Kluyveromyces lactis: one gene and its partners. The protein of the gene in region 3 interacts with the protein of the main gene of each other region in a biochemical or structural test. Links are inferred from orthologs where the notes say so. Each region holds a gene or a part of one and is shown on either strand. Other genes may lie near its edges.

Region 1 (4,665 bases), on a different chromosome or scaffold from region 3:
GTACTCTTTGGTTACCAGAAGACTGTGAACTCAGTATAGATGTTCCGCATGAAGCTTCTTTTTTGTTATCATCGAACAATTGTTTCTGCTTGTGCAAAAGCTTTGGATTTGGGGACCTTTTATACTGAGATCCTGTATCACTCAAAGATGATGAAGAACCAGTCAAATCAGTAGGTTGTATATTAGCTTTTTGGCGGAGGGACGATTGACTCTTTTTAATCGCCAAATCTGGGAATAGTTTAGAGATTATCTTCTGTGTCACACCGGAATTTGCATGACTTAATCTTTTTAAAGTATTTAATGCCAAAGAATTCGTCGCCGTCATTTGGTTCTTGTATTCAAATTCAGTTCGTGGTAAATTAGAGTTCGGAGATGAAGATAGCTGAGCGAACACCTTCTCTTTGAAAGCTGGTTGAAGGACAGCATTAGTGGATTTTGGTTTCATCCATGTGATAGTATCAATGTGGTTAGTATTCCCCTTGGACTTCGATACTGTACGTCTATTCCAATCATTCTTACTCTCTTTAGAAGAGCGGAACTCCGCAGCAAGAGCAGCATCCATATGCATTGAGTAAGGGCCACTCTGAACTTCGAAAGCAGCAGAATCGTAAGATTCCATAAAATCTGATACAGAGTTGCATTTGTCGTTTATTTTTATGGATTGTAAGGCAATTTCCTCTTTTAGTTCAGTTTCAGTTAATCCCATCATTAAAACGTTGTATATTTTACATCTGGGTCGCCATTCAACATTAGCTCTGGAAGAATCATTCCAGAAGGATATACTTAACCAGGTTGGCGTGCAATAATGTAATTGGTCTTTGTAGTCTCTATAACGTAACAACGGAACTATATGAAGCGGTGGACGTGATAGACAAATGAGGTCCATTGTAATCTCTAGAGACATTAATTTTTGAGTGGTAATTTTTAGTAGATCATAGTCAACATCGTATAAACCTGAACCAGCAGTAACGATGATGGCATGTGTAGTCGTGTGCCGTAGATCATTTTGTTTGAAGGGATCGGTCACCAAAGTAGTTGCCAGATTAATTGTCTCCAACAAATTAGACTTTATGACAGAAGGAAGAGACCCTTTTATCACACTAACGTTTTCATTTAGCTTGACATTTCTGAGATCCTGTGCAATTCTTATAAACTCTTTCCTAAGTGTTTTCATGATTTCAACCCAGTGTACTATATTAACCTGGTCAACAACTGCTCGATAATAATCGTCAGTGTTCTTGAGCCTCTCTCCGGATGTGACATCATTGAATGATGAATCCGATCTGTCAATTGAAGCACAAAACATTATGGAAATGGAATGATGTGTGCCTATATTTTTCCACTTTCGGAATATTTTTGGAAAAAGAGAGTTAACCACTTTATGGAAAGTCTCCTCTCCATTCTCCTCAAAATGCCACATCTCGTCTGTTATTTGAATCATGAACAGTAGTTTTGCTGATTCAGATCGGAACACGATTTTAGTATTTTCATCGATATACCCAGAAAATATCTTCTTTCCATTTATGTATATCCCTTTAACCGTTGCCCTTACCGTTTCAATCAAACCAACTCGTTGCCCTAAAAAGACACACGAATCATGGAGCTGAGTAGAAAATTTCCACATATCGCCTCTGTTAACGTAACTATCTTTAACATGAAGCTCCACCAAATCAACAGCAAGCTGCTTCTTCTCTTTTAACTTTACCCACACTTTAGATCGTATTGGTAGGTCCAAAACTTGTTGTAGTTGCCCAGATAAAACTGAAATTTGGAAACTCTTCAATCTCCTTCTTGTTTCTGTATCAAAATCTTTCACTATGAAATATAACTTTTTATCTTTGGATCCGGGAGAAGTTCTGTAAGTTTTTAGTTCAGCCAGATCACCTTCTTTGGCACCCTTAATGGATGATATGTCAACCATAACTTGTTCATTCGAAAACCTTGCTTCATGAAAAGCAAGTTCCAACTCGAGGGATCTTTTAGCTGTTCTCGCTTCTGCGTCACTATCATTATCCGCAATATTCTTACTATCCTGACAACCATCTTGTGATTGCGCCTGCAGGGCTTTAGATTGAGTATTTTTCAAACCATTGGTCGATAACTGCATCCGAGGGCCGTTGAACGCAGATCCTTGCATTTGAGAGCTGACGCCGATACTCAAAGTATTATTTCTAATTGTAACATTCGTACCAGAAGTTGCATCAGATGAACCGGTACCTTGAAAGTTATACCTTGCAGAAGATTTGGTGCTGATGGCATCGCTTTGCACTGATGACAGGGCATCCCTGTCCCTTGGAACAGGCCTTGATCCTGACCTTAGGTTAGAAAATATAAGTTCCCCGGGAGGCATGTCTTAAGGAAGACGACTAGGGATCCTTGACAATTGATCAATTTCACTGCTTCTACAATGCAAACTGGAGAAAAAAAGTACAATGAGGTTGAGTGGATGAGTTTTCTTCATCCATATGTGTTTTGTCTTGTCTGCATCTTGATATTTTTCAAATTATTGGTTTTTTCGTAGATTATTGTTGAAAGGGTACAAAATATATATCACGTGAATAGGACAATGTTCATACATGGACATGTTCGAAGCTTAATAGTTAATACCATGAGAACTTGCAGTAAACCATGAACTGAAGTTGGCTTTCTCGATATTGGGAGAGGGTACAATATTAAGAAGTTGAGTTGTTAAAGGGCCATGTTATGACGATTTACTGGGTCATTAGTATACAGAATAGATACCTATATGAGACGGAGGTTGTTAAGAATGCGGAAGTTTAAAGGAATGACTTACTCTGTCGAGTTTTGTCTTATGCGTTCCTGTCTTTCCTGTTCTTCTTGCATAGATAAGCGCAATGCCATTGCCAATTCAGGATCTAGGGATGGATCAACACCAAAGTCCATAAAATCGTCATTACCTCCCATTGAGAAGCCAGCCTCAGCAGCAGGACCTTCAAGTACAATAGGCGATGCTGCTACATGCTCGTAGAGTAGTTTGGGGCCTGCATCAATGTTCAAAAGAGTAGATTTACTATCCTCTTGCCCACTGTTGACCGTTTCTACGAATTCCTCCAATAGGTCAGCGTTCGTATCAGTTTCACCGAAATTGATAACATCAACCGCAATGCTATTTTTCTTCAACTTCTTTGCCATCTTAATCAAATCCTGTCTATCCTCAGTGATTGGACTACAAACGAATATAATAATCCTTTGACGCTGTACTCTATTTTGTCTATGTTTCAAAGTCAATGCAGCAATCTGTATGGCAGTGGCAAAATGGATGGACCCTCCAATATTGATATCATGTAGTCCGCTCAAGATCTTACCGAATTCGTTTGTGAATGTGGATAAAACTTTTGGGTTTGCCTCGGCAGCAGATACCAACCCTATAGTGTTCTCTGGATTACTGTTTCTTTTCGCCTGGAAAATATACTCAACGGCATCAACTTGTGCCACAAATCGAGTTCTTGGAAAGTCACCGTTCCTGGCATATTCCGAGTTATCAACAACCAATACAGTAGCTTCTAAAACCATCTCTCTTTCCTTAATATATCTGTTCTAAAATGATTCCAAATAAGAGAATAATTCAATCAAAGACTACAAAAAATTATCTCGCTTTAAAATAGAATAGCGGTACGCAATCTTAATTGATATAGAATGGGTTCAGCAACTTAATTATCCATTAGTTAACCTTCTTTTCCCTGGTGGCAACTGTAGCTAGGAACTACTTCTTTTCTCTATATTAAATATTAACCTAACTTTACTTTGAACCAAATTACCCACTAGATTAATAAATCCGGGTAATAAAAATCCAATCTCTCTTTTTCTTCCCCTTCACGCAGATCAATCTGCAGGGCCTTCTGTCGTTCTCCGTATTATGGCAGAAACTTCGCAAACTCTCTGTCAAAACCAAAAGTTAAGGTTTCGGATCTTTATATAAGTAAACAAACAGGTGAAATAATGAAGATCAAGCACTTGAGATTTTATCCGCCGAAGTGACTAATAGAGAAACAGTGATGAGTACCGGCGAAGATGGTTCCAAAAACGGGCAGCATATTACTGAAAAGCAACGAGAGAAGATTCGAAGTGCGTTAATAACTCGCCAGGAAGAGAAACTGCAAGAGGCCCTGAATGAGATAGAGAGAGTGAAAGGTAACACCAAAGAGATGCTGGAATCTGTGATTTCTACGTGGAAAGAGAAGGCTAAATTGAGGGATGGAACTATCCAGGAAACCCTGGACCGTGAAAGGGCTGGTGATGTTTAGAAGTGCATTTAAAATCGTTTAACCAAATCGAAGAACGGATGCCGGGGACTTCAGAACGAACTCCCACGTGACCATGCCTAAGATCGAAAGACTGTTTCCCCCCAATTCTGTGGTGATATTAAAGTGGGCGAGAAATCCAATTAGTGCTCCGGGTGATTAATAGTCACGTGTAATGATTTCCCACGTGATGTTTTTTTGTTGGTCAAGAAGTCTTACCATACACAAACACCACGGTTTTCTTTTTTTTTTTTTTTTTGTTGTGAAAGAGTAATCCACTGTTATCTTACCAGTCAGCAGGTAAACATCTGATATTCCGGAAAAAAAAAAAGAACTTCCCTTAGCGTCCTCGCTAGCATTCAGTCTTACTCATTCTCGCATACACAGTTTGGACCAATGGTTC
Region 2 (5,238 bases), on a different chromosome or scaffold from region 3:
TTCTAGATTAATAACATATGATACAAGTTTGAACCACTCACTATAAGTGAATATGGTGGCTCCCAATAACCCAAATTCTTCATTATTGTTGAAGTTGAAAACGATGGTTCTTTCTGGTTGGTTTTCCGAGTAATACTGAAGTAACGCAAGAAGTGATACCACACCTTTCCCATCATCTGTGGCACCATATCCAGTTGGCACCGAGTCAAAATGGGCGGATAGTAGAAGGCCAGGTAACTGTGGTGACTTTCCTTCCACTTTAACCAAAATGTTCGAGGACTCGTAGTAAACCAGCCTGGTTTCGGTAGATGAATCGTTGAAAACGTCCAAATGTTGAAAGAGTTTAGAGACACCATTAGCAGAATCATCAGATACCTCAATAAACTTTGACTTTTTCGATATCTGCTCGACTCTTTGCAACAAATAGTCATGTACATTATCATTGAAATGAGAAGTGTAAGGATGAGGTTTCTCGGTAATGACTTGTAAATCATGCCAAGCTGCATCTAACAATGAATTTGATGACTTATCATCTGGTAAGTTTGACTTATATTTATTAGCATCGAACCATGTCAGTATACTAATAACCAAAACAGTAAGCACAAACAAGGTGCTAACGGTGGTCTTCCTAAACTTGAAAGTAGACCGAAAATAATTGGCCATCATTATAGTTGGACCAGGGAAAGAAAGAGCAGCCCTGAACGATCACCCGCTAATTTCTAAGAAATTGTAGGTGCTTGTCAAACACTTATTAATAAAACGAATGGAATAATACCTCTCTTTATCAGTTCTATTGATTTATTGTGACTGAAAACCCTTAAGTCTGTTTTGGTTTTAATTGTACATATTTCGATTATACTCATCTTCTCGAATGATAACTAGATAAAGAAAACGTACATATACACAGAGAAAAGGGCATTGACGAAGCTTTGCAGCCTTTAAAAGTCTCCAATAACAGAGTATTCATTAATCATAGGTATGTGCGTCTTCTACTCTTGTCTATCCTGTAGCTCATCCTTATTCCTTCTCGAGCATGTATTGGCGTCTTATTTGAAGAACTCACGTGCCGAGAAAGAAATTATGTTACCCTGAAAATAGATACTGGAGAGGAAAACATCAAACCCGTGCATGGTGATAACAGATGTGCCATGCAAATTTCCTCGAGACCTTTTGGGGACAATAGTTCATGCATATACGACCTGCATGGACGTTCTTAATAACAACGATTATCTGTACCATTGAAATTTGCTCTTCTACATTCAGGTCTTAGTAGTTTTCTTTTCGGTTAAGAGTGCAGGTTTACTGAAAAGTGAAACCATACAAAGACTCGTCGTCAAGATGCAAGTACAGAATGTTGATCGCTCCAAGTTCGCTCCAATGAAGAATGATTTGATGCTCAGAGCAGCTTTAGGTGAGAAGGTTGAAAGACCACCATGTTGGATTATGAGACAGGCTGGACGTTATTTACCAGAATACCATGAGGTGAAGAATGGTCGTGACTTTTTCGAGACATGTCGTGATGCAGAAATTGCTTCAGAAATTACTATTCAGCCCGTGAGACGTTACGCCGGTTTATTGGATGCAGCTATTATCTTCAGTGATATTCTTGTGATCCCTCAGGCCATGGGTATGAAAGTTGAGATGGTTGAGGGGAAAGGCCCTCATTTCCCGGAACCGTTGAGAACTGAAGAGCAACTACAAAAGGTATTGGATTATAAGGTCAACGTTTTAGACGAACTAGAATGGGCCTTTAAAGCTATCACTATGACTCGTACTAAATTGGACGGCCAAGTGCCTTTGTTAGGTTTCTGTGGTGCTCCATGGACGTTATTGGTTTATATGACCGAGGGTGGTGGATCGCGTTTATTCAGATTCGCTAAGCAATGGTTAAACGAATCGCCAGAATCATCGCATAAATTATTACAGAAGATTACTGACGTTGCGGTCGAATTCTTGTGCCAACAGGTAGTTGCTGGTTGTCAGATGCTTCAAGTGTTTGAAAGTTGGGGTGGCGAGTTAGGCTCTCGTGATTTCGACGAGTTCTCTTTACCGTACCTAAAGCAAATTGCGGAAAGAGTTCCACCAAGGTTAAAGCAGCTGGGTATCGAAGAACGTGTTCCAATGGTAGTATTCGCCAAGGGATCATGGTACGCACTAGACAAACTATGTGACAGTGGCTATAATGCAGTTTCTTTAGATTGGTCATGGGACCCTGCAGAGGCAGTAAAGATCAACAGTGACCGTGTTACCTTACAGGGTAATTTGGACCCTGGTGTAATTTACGGTTCGGATGAGATTATTACCAAGAGAGTCACTGAAATGGTTCATGGTTTCGGCGGAGGTAAGCAACATTACATTGTAAACTTTGGACATGGTACCCATCCATTCATGGATCCAGAGAAGATCAAATTCTTTTTGCAGGAATGTCACAGAGTCGGTAGTCAATAAATCTATCAAAAATCGGAAATAGACTACTACCTTTCTGCATCCAATTTATTTCATGTATATACCATTTCATTCTGTTTAATACATACTGATGTCAGTAAATCCATTTTTTTACCCTGCTTAGTTGATCAAGTCTGGTCATGTATGGTTTTTTACTTCAATGTACTTTATTTATAGTGAAACCTTGATATTTCAAAGTTTGTTACTTCAATAAATCTTCTTCATTCATGAAAACTTGCCATCACACAGTGAAACGTTTTAAAAGAGGTGTTAAAGAGCTCAAAGAAGTGTGGATTCCCTGAACTGATGTCCGACAGAATACAAAAGAATGACTTGTACGTCTATGATTTGTCTGATGAGATCCTTTCTTCTTTGCAGTTGATATCTTTCGACTCTGATATGAATGAGGTTAAAGTGGTCCATTCTGATGTAGAAATCGAAAACAAAAAGGAAATTGAGGTTAAAACAGTACCTTCATGTGCTTCATGTGGTATTAATGCATTTCCTAATGATAATTCTGATCCTCGATATCATTTTAAAACTGATTTACACAAATTCAACATAAAAAGAAGAGTTTACGGTTTATCTCCAGTCGATGAGCAAGAGTTTAGGCAGTTGATTAAAAGTAAAGAAACAGCCACTGCAGAAGATTCTGACAGTGATTCTTTATCTGGTGAGGATGATGAGACAGATGAAATAGAAGAAGATGATATTTCTACAAGAGGAGGAGAGCAGTTGACAGCAATTCTCGAGCATGAACTCCAGGATTTGATGATCAATGACAACCAAACGGGACCCGTTTCTCATTTAAACACACAATCTCCTTTAATATTCATGCATTCTGCTGAATTATCGGGACCAAGAATTTTCGGGGCTTATAAAGTACTATTTAATGCAGAGGAATTGAAATGCCCATTGAAATCAATTCATCATTGGAAAAATCAGGATAAAACCGAGCATTTCTCTGTGTTGTTCATGATTGGCGGCGGTCATTTTGCAGGAGCAGTGGTATCGCATCAAAAGATACCAACTAATGGTAATAACAAAAATAAATATATCCTATCTCTACAAGAGCAGTCAGTACAGTTTTTGGAACAGAAAACGTTCCATCGATACACTACCAGAAGAAAGCAAGGTGGCTCCCAATCAGCAAATGACAATGCCAAGGGAAAGGCAAATTCCGCTGGTTCAACTCTACGTAGATATAATGAAGCAGCGTTGAAAGCAGACATACAAGCATTGTTAAAGGATTGGGAACCCTACATTGCAAAGTGTGACAATATTTTCATTAGAGCCAATAGTGTCACAGATAGAAAGATCTTCTTAGATAATACTTGCATCTCTAAAACTGATGTCAAACTAAAGTCTTTCCCATTCACTACGATGCGCCCATCCTCAAATGAACTAAGGCGTGCCTGGGTTCAATTGACGTATTTATCGATAACGGACAAACCTCAACCAAAAGTCAAAAAATTGCAAACTGATCATTCAAAGAACAAACCTAGGAAACTTACAAATTCTCCAACACCAGTGCCTCTGAAGACAGAAGATGAACAACATACCGAAAAGCTAATCTCATTTATTCAAAAGAGTAAGGCGCCGCTGTTAATATCGTATATCAAGAAAAACAATCTTGATGTCAATATTACTTTGCAACCCTCTTCTGAATATCATCACACACCAACAATGCTACATTATGCATCATCTCACGGCTTGAAACACATGGTATTGGTGTTGTTGTCCACTTTAAAAGCAGATCCTACAATTACTAACAATGTTGGAAAAACAGCGTGGGATCTGGCGAGTGACACCATGGTCAAGGAAACCTTCCAGTTGGCGCGTTATAATTTAGGAGAAAGCTTCACGGATTGGGAGCAAAGTCATGTTAGTGGAGCATTATCGGCTGAACAGATAGATGAAAGGCACAAGAAGATAGCACTCGAAGAAGAGAAAGAAAAGAAAGACTTGATAGAAAAAGAATTGCAGGCGGCAAAGGAAAGAATCAAAGAGGAAAAAGATGCTAAAAGAGGTCCCGGAATGAAACTTGGCGCCGCATCCTCTAACGTTCAAATAAATTTGAACTCTTTAACTGATGATCAACGGATGAGATTGATGAGAGAGCAGCGAGCTCGTGCAGCTGAAGCGAGAATGAAAAGATTTTCTGGTAACTAGATGCAAGTATAAATAGTAACATATATAACTTTTACACGGAGTCTTTTACCAAAGCATAAGTGATGTACTGTCGTGCATCATCAAAGACGTTATTCATAGCTTCGTCAATTAAGTCATTAGTCTTTTGTGGATCAATATGTTTGTATCCCAATAGGCATTTTCTCATGATTTCTGACTTTGTTCCATTTCGAAGTATCTCCTCCTTCTCTATAATTTTTTGGGCTTCTAGAGCATTGATCCAAATTGAAGCAGGAGGATTGTTTGATGGAGTCGCAGCAGCCTGGTATTCTGGCTGGGCGTTGGCTTCATCAGTACCCGTTATCTCTTCTTCTTCAAGCACTTCTACTTCACCAGAACAATTACAAATTAAGTCGTGGGTATTGGATAAAGTGGACAAATTAATGGTAAACAAGTCCTTCAACTCTTCCTGCTGAAAAAGATCATCATCATTTTTTGATTGATCTGTGGCACTGTCCAAGAACTTTTTAGAAAGCGCTATTTTCATTAACTGTCTTTGAAGTATCTTCTCATCAATACATCCGGTTGTCACAAGTCTATAAATGAAACATGGCCTTCTCTGACCATCGCGATGAATTCTTGACATGGCCTGTAAATCAATGG
Region 3 (8,567 bases):
TGACGATAATGATTCCATTGAAGAAGGCGGATTTTTTTCAAAATTGTGCTGTGGAATTTGCTAGCCCATTTTTTAGGCCCATGACGAGAAGATGTATTATAAGTTAATTTAACCCTCCTTACCTATTTGTTGTCCTGTTGTAAGAGCTGAAAAGGCGTTGATCGTCTGGGTTCTCCAATAACAGGCACACACGGATACATTTAACGCTGAGCGTTTTGCTTTTATAATTTTTTTTCCAAGGCAAGAAGGAACCTTTCATATCTTTGTGTCTCTCCCATTCCCATGATCTTTCTCGCTCGGTTCGCATTTATTAGACAAACTTACACCCTTGCTTTAGCTGAGGAGAACTGACAAATTACATGAACATCCAGATATGTAAATAGAAATACATATTCATAATATTTTACTTTACTTTAATATAAATTGTAATTTAGTTTCAAGGAACTTAAATAACGAATTAAGCACTTGAAGAGTATATTTAATCATTGAATTATTTATTAGCTGATAGTAAGTTAAATTTGAAGTGAATGCAATGCAATATAATTTCCACATGGGTAACAGGTTTCAATGAATTGCAGAAGGTGATTGAGGGAGGTGAACGGGTATCATAAGCCTTCGCATACAAATGTGGCATCGCTGCCTCTTCTAATGCCAGACAGAAGAGGGATTGTGGGTATATCGAATGAATGGGTTTTACCGTCAAACATGCTATCTAGTGCAGGCGTCATTGGAGAATGGGCTTCGTATTCCAGAGTATCCTCAGAATCTTCAAACGCAGAATTGCTACTATCCTTGGTTGTTTCATCTGAACTGGAGTAGACCATAGTAGCTGGAGGTTCTGATTTCGTTTCGGTCGACACGGATTCGAGTAGACGTAATGGGTTCCTTGGTGGAGGTAAAACCATTGGCATGTCAACAACCGAGTACGATCTTAGCTCTTGATCTTGCAAGGATATGAAATGAGAGTCTGCTAAGCCGACGAAATGACTCCCTAGATGTTTCTTGTTTCCGATTCTTTCCAGATCTGGAGATTGAATAATGTTACCGTTTTGCACACAGTCCGCTGGTAATCCAAAGCTCTGGATACCATGAGATGGTCTGCAACACATTACTTGGTCGGTGAATTTCAAATCTTTGATATCCCAGGACATTATTAAGCCTTGATCGTCTGTACTATATATTTTCTTCATTTCATTATCGTAATCGAGACTGTTGACATGTCCGTTATGACCCAACAGGTGTGCTCTAACCTTCCCATATCTGATATCCCATATCTTCAATGCCTTTCCGACCGAATTAACGACCGTATATTCATCTAACCATTTGGAAGTATAACATTTGCCAGACTCGGCATTGCTGTCCTGAGGTCCAGGGACACGTATTCCGTTACCATCACCCAAACGAAGATCCAACAATGCAATTCCGGACTGCCCAAATTTCGTTCCTGTCAGAGAAAATGTGAATGGATTGACTGGGTTAACATCAACGTGTTCCAAACCGGGGAAACTGTTCAAGTATAATGGGTCTTTGCACTGTTGGTTCACGTCATAGACAAACAACGAATCGTTAATGACAGAGGTGAAATGATGCTTGTTCCAGGTCTTCAAATGACGAATTGGTTTTGAACGACTTGTGTTATAAATTTGCGTAGCAAGATCAACACTATCCATGCTATCGGTGATCACTTTCAAATGTTTGGAATGATTGAAACGTCTTAGAATTTTGGCGTTCCCATTCTCGATTGAAGTTGCAATTAAGTTCACATATCCATCAGAGTGTCCTGAAAGTAAGATTCTGTCATGGACTTTATCATCGAAGGAAACTACGGTGTCATTATTCTGCGATTGCATGATATCTGTAGCCAGAATAGATTTTCCTGGAACAGTAATGGTTTGTAAACTATGGAGCAATTTCCCACCGCGAGCCTGCTCATTAATTTCATTATTCCGCAATTGGAACAACTGTAAATTATCCGATGTCTGTGATGTGGAAAGTAGAATGGTGTCCCTATCCAATGACATTGAAGTGACGTCCCTAGTGTCTTCTGACAGTTTCCAACAATCTGTCTTCAATTTTTTCGTGACAATGACATCGTTCAAATCACCACTAACCTTCCTTAGCAAGGAACTGTTCAATTTCGAAGCCTCTATCTTGCAATTCCGCCTGACAATAGTACTGTTCTCGTCATCGCTAATATCTCTTCTACTCTTCTTGACGATGATGGCGTTCTGTCTGAATATCTCTGGAGCCCTGTAGAATTCAGTCATAATTTTCGCAATATACAGTTTCTTATTTGACTTTGTGTAATGTTTGCACTGCAGAGAATAATTGATTGTTAACAGGTACATCCATTAGAGGAGTAAGAGCTGGTCACTTTTAGAAACGACATGTTTATATATGATACAGGGCAAATAAAAATAGCACTAGCAAACACTGAGCCAATCAAAAATAGGACCAAACGCAGAACAAGCAACAAAAATTAGAGAAAGGCACGTTACCTATTGAGTGTGTTAGGCAGCCATATGAGCAAACATCCTGTTTATGTTTGCAAGAGGTTTGTTTACCTGTAAACAAACCCAGCATCTTTAAAGCTGGCAAAGGCTTGTTTATATTTATGTCATTTTGGACGATATGATTTTTGTCACGTGATGCCCATAATCGTCCCATATGCACGTCATCTGACAGCAATACGGCAGATTCTTGCAACCTGGTGGCTACCACCGCCATTAATGCCGTTTCCGAATTTACTGACATACTCGGCGTAGCCTGGTATCCCTCTTTAGTACTCTTTTTCCAGGTTTCAATCTCCTCACGTGACAAGTAAAGGAGAAAAGAAAATTGTGATTTGCATATTTTAATTAAGGAAACAAAACAAGAACAAAGATACTTTACTTGCAAACAACATCCGATTTAATCATCAGATCAAGGTGCTAGAGGATAAGCAAACGTGCATTGACAGTGGCAAAAAGGACGGTACGGAAAAGGGTATTGAGCAAGGTATTGATCTGATTTTTCTTTGCTTCTTTTTAGAGGAATCATCAACTTTTTTTCTGGTTCTGTTTCCTGTTCTGTTTCTTTGCAATTACGACAATTAAAGAAGACAAAAGACAAAAAATAAAACCTTATAGGCTTTCTCGGGCGGTTTTATTTGTTTAATAATTATTGCTGTTACTACCACTTATCAGATATCTAGTGTTTGAAGACTTTTCAATTTGTTATTGAGATTCCACTTTGAAGGAGAAATTATCGGATTTGAAATTGACAAACCATTAAAAAAATAAAAAGCTGCGAAATATGTCTATCTCTGTGAAACTAGTGGCTGCTGAGTCATTGAACAGGAGGGATGTGTTTAGATCTCCTGATCCGTTTGCAGTTTTGACTATCGATGGTTCTCAGACGAAATCCACAGCGGCTGCAAAGAAGACGTTGAATCCCTACTGGAATGAAGTATTTCAATTCAAAAATGTGAGTGAAAATTCGATCTTAACTGTTCAAGTGTTTGATCAGAAAAAGTTCAAGAAGAAAGATCAAGGGTTCCTAGGTGTTGTCAACGTTCGTATTGGTGACATTCTGGGTCACTTGGACGAAGATACTGCCACTTCGAACGGTAGAGCTCGTGAAGAGACTATTACTAGAGATTTAAAACGTTCTAACGACGGGTTGTCAGTAAGTGGTAGAATAATATTGGTTTTGACGGTTCTCCCCAGAGCTGGCAGCCGTAATGGAGCTGCTGGTGCCGCAGGTAGTGCTGTTGCTGGTTCCGGAGCAGCTCGTCAATCGGATTCGATGACGAACGCTTCCACTATCGACAACAGATTGATTGCTCAGACTGTTGCTAACAACTTGCAAACTACTACATTAGACAACCAGGATTCTGCGAATGCTGCAGGTACCGCCAGTTCAGGTTCAGGTGCCGGTTCAAGTGATGCTGCTCCATCCGGTCAACCTTCGACAGCTCAATCTCAATCGTCAGCTAGCAGGCAATACTCATCGTTTGAAGATCAATATGGTCGTTTACCCCCAGGATGGGAAAGAAGAACGGATAACTTTGGAAGAACATATTATGTGGATCATAATACAAGGACAACAACATGGAAAAGACCCACTTTGGATCAATCCGAGGTTCAACGTGTCAACACCGAACTAGAACGTAGACAACACAGAGGAAGAACTTTACCTGATGGTGGTGCTCAATCAGAGGGCTCGTCTTCATCAAACGTTGCTGTTCATACCGGTACTGGATCTCAAACTCCTGCCGTAAACGGTTCAGCAGCTGCTACTTTTGCTGCCACTGGGGGTACCACATCGGGGTTGGGTGAACTTCCACCAGGTTGGGAACAACGGTTCACTCCTGAAGGAAGAGCGTACTTCGTTGATCACAACACAAGAACCACGACATGGGTCGATCCAAGAAGACAACAATATATTAGAACCTATGGGCCTTCCACAAATACCATACAACAACAACCTGTATCTCAGTTAGGACCTTTGCCTTCTGGTTGGGAGATGAGATTGACAAACACAGCCCGTGTATACTTCGTTGACCATAACACTAAGACCACCACTTGGGATGATCCTAGATTACCTTCTTCCTTGGATCAAAACGTTCCACAGTATAAGCGTGACTTCAGACGTAAGGTTATTTACTTCAGATCCCAACCGGCTTTAAGAATTCTACCAGGTCAATGTCACATCAGAGTACGCAGAAAGAATATCTTCGAAGATTCTTACCAAGAAATAATGAGACAAACGCCAGAAGACTTAAAGAAGAGACTAATGATCAAATTTGACGGTGAAGAAGGTTTAGATTATGGTGGTGTTTCAAGAGAATTCTTCTTTTTACTATCACACGAGATGTTTAATCCCTTCTACTGTCTATTTGAATATTCTGCCCATGATAACTATACTATCCAAATCAATCCAAACAGTGGTATCAACCCTGAGCATTTGAACTACTTCAAGTTCATTGGTAGAGTCGTCGGTTTAGGTGTATTCCATAGAAGGTTCTTGGATGCATTCTTCGTTGGTGCTCTATATAAGATGATGCTAAGAAAGAAGGTAGTATTACAAGATATGGAAGGTGTCGATTCAGAAGTCTACAACTCCTTGAAATGGATTTTAGAAAATAGCATAGATGGCATTTTAGATCTAACATTTAATGTTGATGATGAAAGATTTGGTGAACTGGTTGTCGTCGATTTGAAACCAAACGGCAGAGAAATCGAAGTCACAGATGAAAACAAGAAAGAATATGTTGAACTATATACCCAATGGAGGATCGCAGACAGAGTTCAAGAACAATTTAAGGCATTTATGGATGGATTTAACGAATTGGTTCCTGAAGATCTAGTCAACGTGTTTGATGAACGTGAACTTGAATTATTGATTGGTGGTATTGCAGAAATTGATGTTGAAGACTGGAAAAAACACACAGATTATCGTGGATACCAAGAGTCTGACGAAGTTATCCAGTGGTTCTGGAAATGTATCACTGAATGGGACAACGAGCAAAGAGCACGTTTGTTACAATTCACAACTGGTACATCGCGTATCCCGGTCAATGGATTCAAAGATTTGCAAGGTTCTGATGGTCCAAGAAGATTCACTATCGAAAAAGCAGGTGAAGTTCAACAACTACCCAAGTCACACACTTGTTTCAACAGAGTGGATCTTCCACCATACACTGATTATGAATCTTTCAAGCAGAAGCTAACATTAGCAGTGGAAGAAACCATCGGATTTGGACAAGAGTAGTTGAATGAATCTTTCAATCTTTTCAATACCCTGCACCTTCTCAATTATTCAATCAGAAAGCGCAAGCACAAACACAAGCACAGACATATATATGTTATAGATATATTGTTGCCAAAACATGTGTATATTATTACATAGAAATTTTTTTCTTAACCTCGTTAGGCCTCAACTTATGGTGCTTTGTTATATTTTATTGCCATTATCAGGTGTTACTTTATATAGGTATGCTATAATGTGGGAAGCAATTGACAACGAAGTATCTGGTTCCTAACCGACGGAGTTTTGTAATTGCCCAGAGATTGATATATCCAGCTTAAATTTTGGGATAATAACGAAAATTAGCTGCATGGAGTTGATAGTATTAAGACCGGGTTCTTAAATGAAAAGGGTTAAGTTGTAATTATATATATGATAATTATGATAGAGGACAGGGTAAAGCTTATAATAAAATAATTTAAATGAGTGAATTGAATGAATTTATTGTATATTGTATAATAACGAGCGACAACAATATATTTGAATGCAATAATAATGAAAAAAGATGTTAACCCATAAACGTTTCGGTGGCTTAATGTTGTAGTTTTTTTTTAAAAGTTGTGGCTTAATTGTTACGGATCTTTCATGAATCGGCCTATTTCCTCTCACTATGACCCTTTTTTTGACCTGGTATGTAAGTGAAGAGAGTGTAATCACAATCTTTGATTGAATGTAAAGATTGATTCTACACCGAAAGATCCCACAATTAATACCTTGGTATTCTATTTTTTTTTCCTTTTTAGTGCAGTTTAAAAATGCTTAATAAAACAACCTGTTACCATTCAGAATGACATTCATAAGTCGTGACCTATTTCCCCTGTGTATAAAATAAATTTTGTATTTCCATAGAATCGACTATCCATCAGATAAAGACAAAAAAAATGAAAAATCTAAAGGAAAAGTAAGATTGATGGTAGAATCAAAAACTTGTAACAAATATTTCATCATGAATTCGGAAATGTTTTAAACAATTTGATGACTGCATGCATCCTTCTCGCTTCTTTCTTCTGTGGTATTTTTTTTTTAGTTTATAATTGTGTTTTACGCTGTTGCGACTTTTACTAGTTTTTACAAGGTTCCTCTCCTTTAATTGAAATATGTGGAATTGTCACCAAACATTGGAAAGCTGACATTTCTGTTATGCTGCATTATATTGGAGGAGGAGCGTGGGGGCATCCCGTTTGGAGGGGTATTCGATTGTGAATCCGACATTGGAACCATATTAGATCCATTGAGAATTCCCGGTAAAGATACAAATGATGATTGGGACATATTGGAAGTCAACCCTGGTTGACTTGGAGTTGGGAACCCATACATCATAGAGCTATTTGATTGTGGTGTTGGGTATTGTGAGTCCATGTACATCGGAGCTGGCATGTTAGCAACATTATTTGAGGAGAAATGCAAATTGGAGTTCATTAATAATGGTTGCTGCATGCTTTGATTGTTCAAATACTGATCAAGATGAGGTTGTTGATGTTCCGGTGCCGGTGGTTGCAACTGTTGAAATGGCGGTGGCTGTTGTGTTTGCATTGAATAATCATGTTGAGAAGCCATTGGCATCTGCGGAACATTCTGTTGATAAGGTGGGAGTGTCATCTGTTGTTGAATGCTGTTTTTCTTCTTGTGGTGATGGTTGCTGCTATTATCACCGCCGGTGTTTATATTATTGTGGAAGTTAGTGTTTCTTTGGAATTGATGGTTATTGGTATTATTGTTACCTGGACCATTGTTCCTGTTGTTCAGATATGCATTGGAAGGCAGAGAAAAGTTGCGAGAATGGTGCTTGTTTTGTTGACGGAATGGTTCATTAACCTTTTTCTTTGTTGGAGTTACATCATCAAATGTGATTCCTGTAAGTTCCGTGTATGCTCTTACCTTCAATTTGATCTTCTTCGCGTATGATGTGTTTTTGATACTTGGCAACAGCTCCTTGGTGATTACAATGAGGTTACTGATCTTGGCAGTGAACTCATGACTGAAACTTGCTAGCCGAGGATTATTGTACACAATGTTATTTCTTGGATGTTCTAGAATAGCTGAATAGTTTCTGACGTCCAAAAGAGTTTGCAATGCGTAGTTACCATAGTTGTCTCTTATCAAAGAAGTAATGTTAGCCATGAAGATATCAGCAATTACCAAAAGAATACCCATGGAAGCGTTAACAACATCATCCCCATCATCGACTCTGTCATGTGGATTCAAAGCCGCTGTTGATGTAGATGTAGTTGCTGTGTTGGACACATAATTCATCACAATGGCAAACAACTTCTTTATATATTTCTCAACAACGTTTGAAGAAAACTTTAAACAGGACAACTGGCACAACTTTTGTGACAATTTGTTGAAAGTTTCGCCTAACAGGTAGAAATCCAACTCCTTGATATCGAACAAGAACTGGATAATATAGTTACCGAATTGGTCGTTGATCAAGGAGGGCAAGTACTGAATTATCTTGACAGAAATCTTGAAAATCTGTTGCAGAGTACAAACACTCAACAATTTTTGCAGTACACAACACCCGTGTTTGTGAGTTGAGATGGTAATGATGTTATCGTTATTGACAATGGCGTCAATGATAAAATCAAAATTTGCTGGTTGGAATTTGAAGATACATTTCTGAATGACATGATTACCGTTCAAATCATTAATCAAAGTGACTACCTGTTCAATTGATGTATGCTCCTGAGAAAATCCCCTAATGATCATATCTATATGTTCTTGGGTCTCAACGGTATCAATGATCTTTTGCAAGGATCTGGTACCATATTGATTGA

Evidence for each region.
Region 1: of the proteins of RSP5 (region 3) and RPN10, one has a biochemical effect on the other in vitro, tested with the Saccharomyces cerevisiae proteins (4 studies listed by BioGRID). The link is inferred for Kluyveromyces lactis from reciprocal best matches to the Saccharomyces cerevisiae genes RSP5 and RPN10.
Region 2: the proteins of RSP5 (region 3) and HEM12 form a complex in vitro, tested with the Saccharomyces cerevisiae proteins (2 studies listed by BioGRID, with this or other methods). The link is inferred for Kluyveromyces lactis from reciprocal best matches to the Saccharomyces cerevisiae genes RSP5 and HEM12.

The regions. Positions count from the first base shown.
Region 1 is NC_006038.1:354,522-359,186, forward strand, and holds RPN10 (proteasome regulatory particle base subunit RPN10), read right to left. Parts: upstream 3,535-4,665; coding exon 2,791-3,534; downstream 1-2,790. Other genes in the region: GTPase-activating protein IML1, read right to left, coding at 1-2,350; KLLA0_B03927g (uncharacterized protein), read left to right, coding at 4,017-4,265. UniProt on the Saccharomyces cerevisiae protein: Multiubiquitin binding protein.
Region 2 is NC_006042.1:1,085,051-1,090,288, forward strand, and holds HEM12 (uroporphyrinogen decarboxylase HEM12), read left to right. Parts: upstream 1-1,338; coding exon 1,339-2,448; downstream 2,449-5,238. Other genes in the region: PFF1 (Pff1p), read right to left, coding at 1-666; VMS1 (Vms1p), read left to right, coding at 2,752-4,617; DNA-dependent ATPase RDH54, read right to left, coding at 4,649-5,238.
Region 3 is NC_006041.1:1,194,839-1,203,405, forward strand, and holds RSP5 (NEDD4 family E3 ubiquitin-protein ligase), read left to right. Parts: upstream 1-3,294; coding exon 3,295-5,754; downstream 5,755-8,567. Other genes in the region: casein kinase YCK3, read left to right, coding at 1-64; DSE1 (Dse1p), read right to left, coding at 606-2,348; MPT5 (Mpt5p), read right to left, coding at 6,877-8,567. UniProt on the Saccharomyces cerevisiae protein: E3 ubiquitin-protein ligase which accepts ubiquitin from an E2 ubiquitin-conjugating enzyme in the form of a thioester and then directly transfers the ubiquitin to targeted substrates.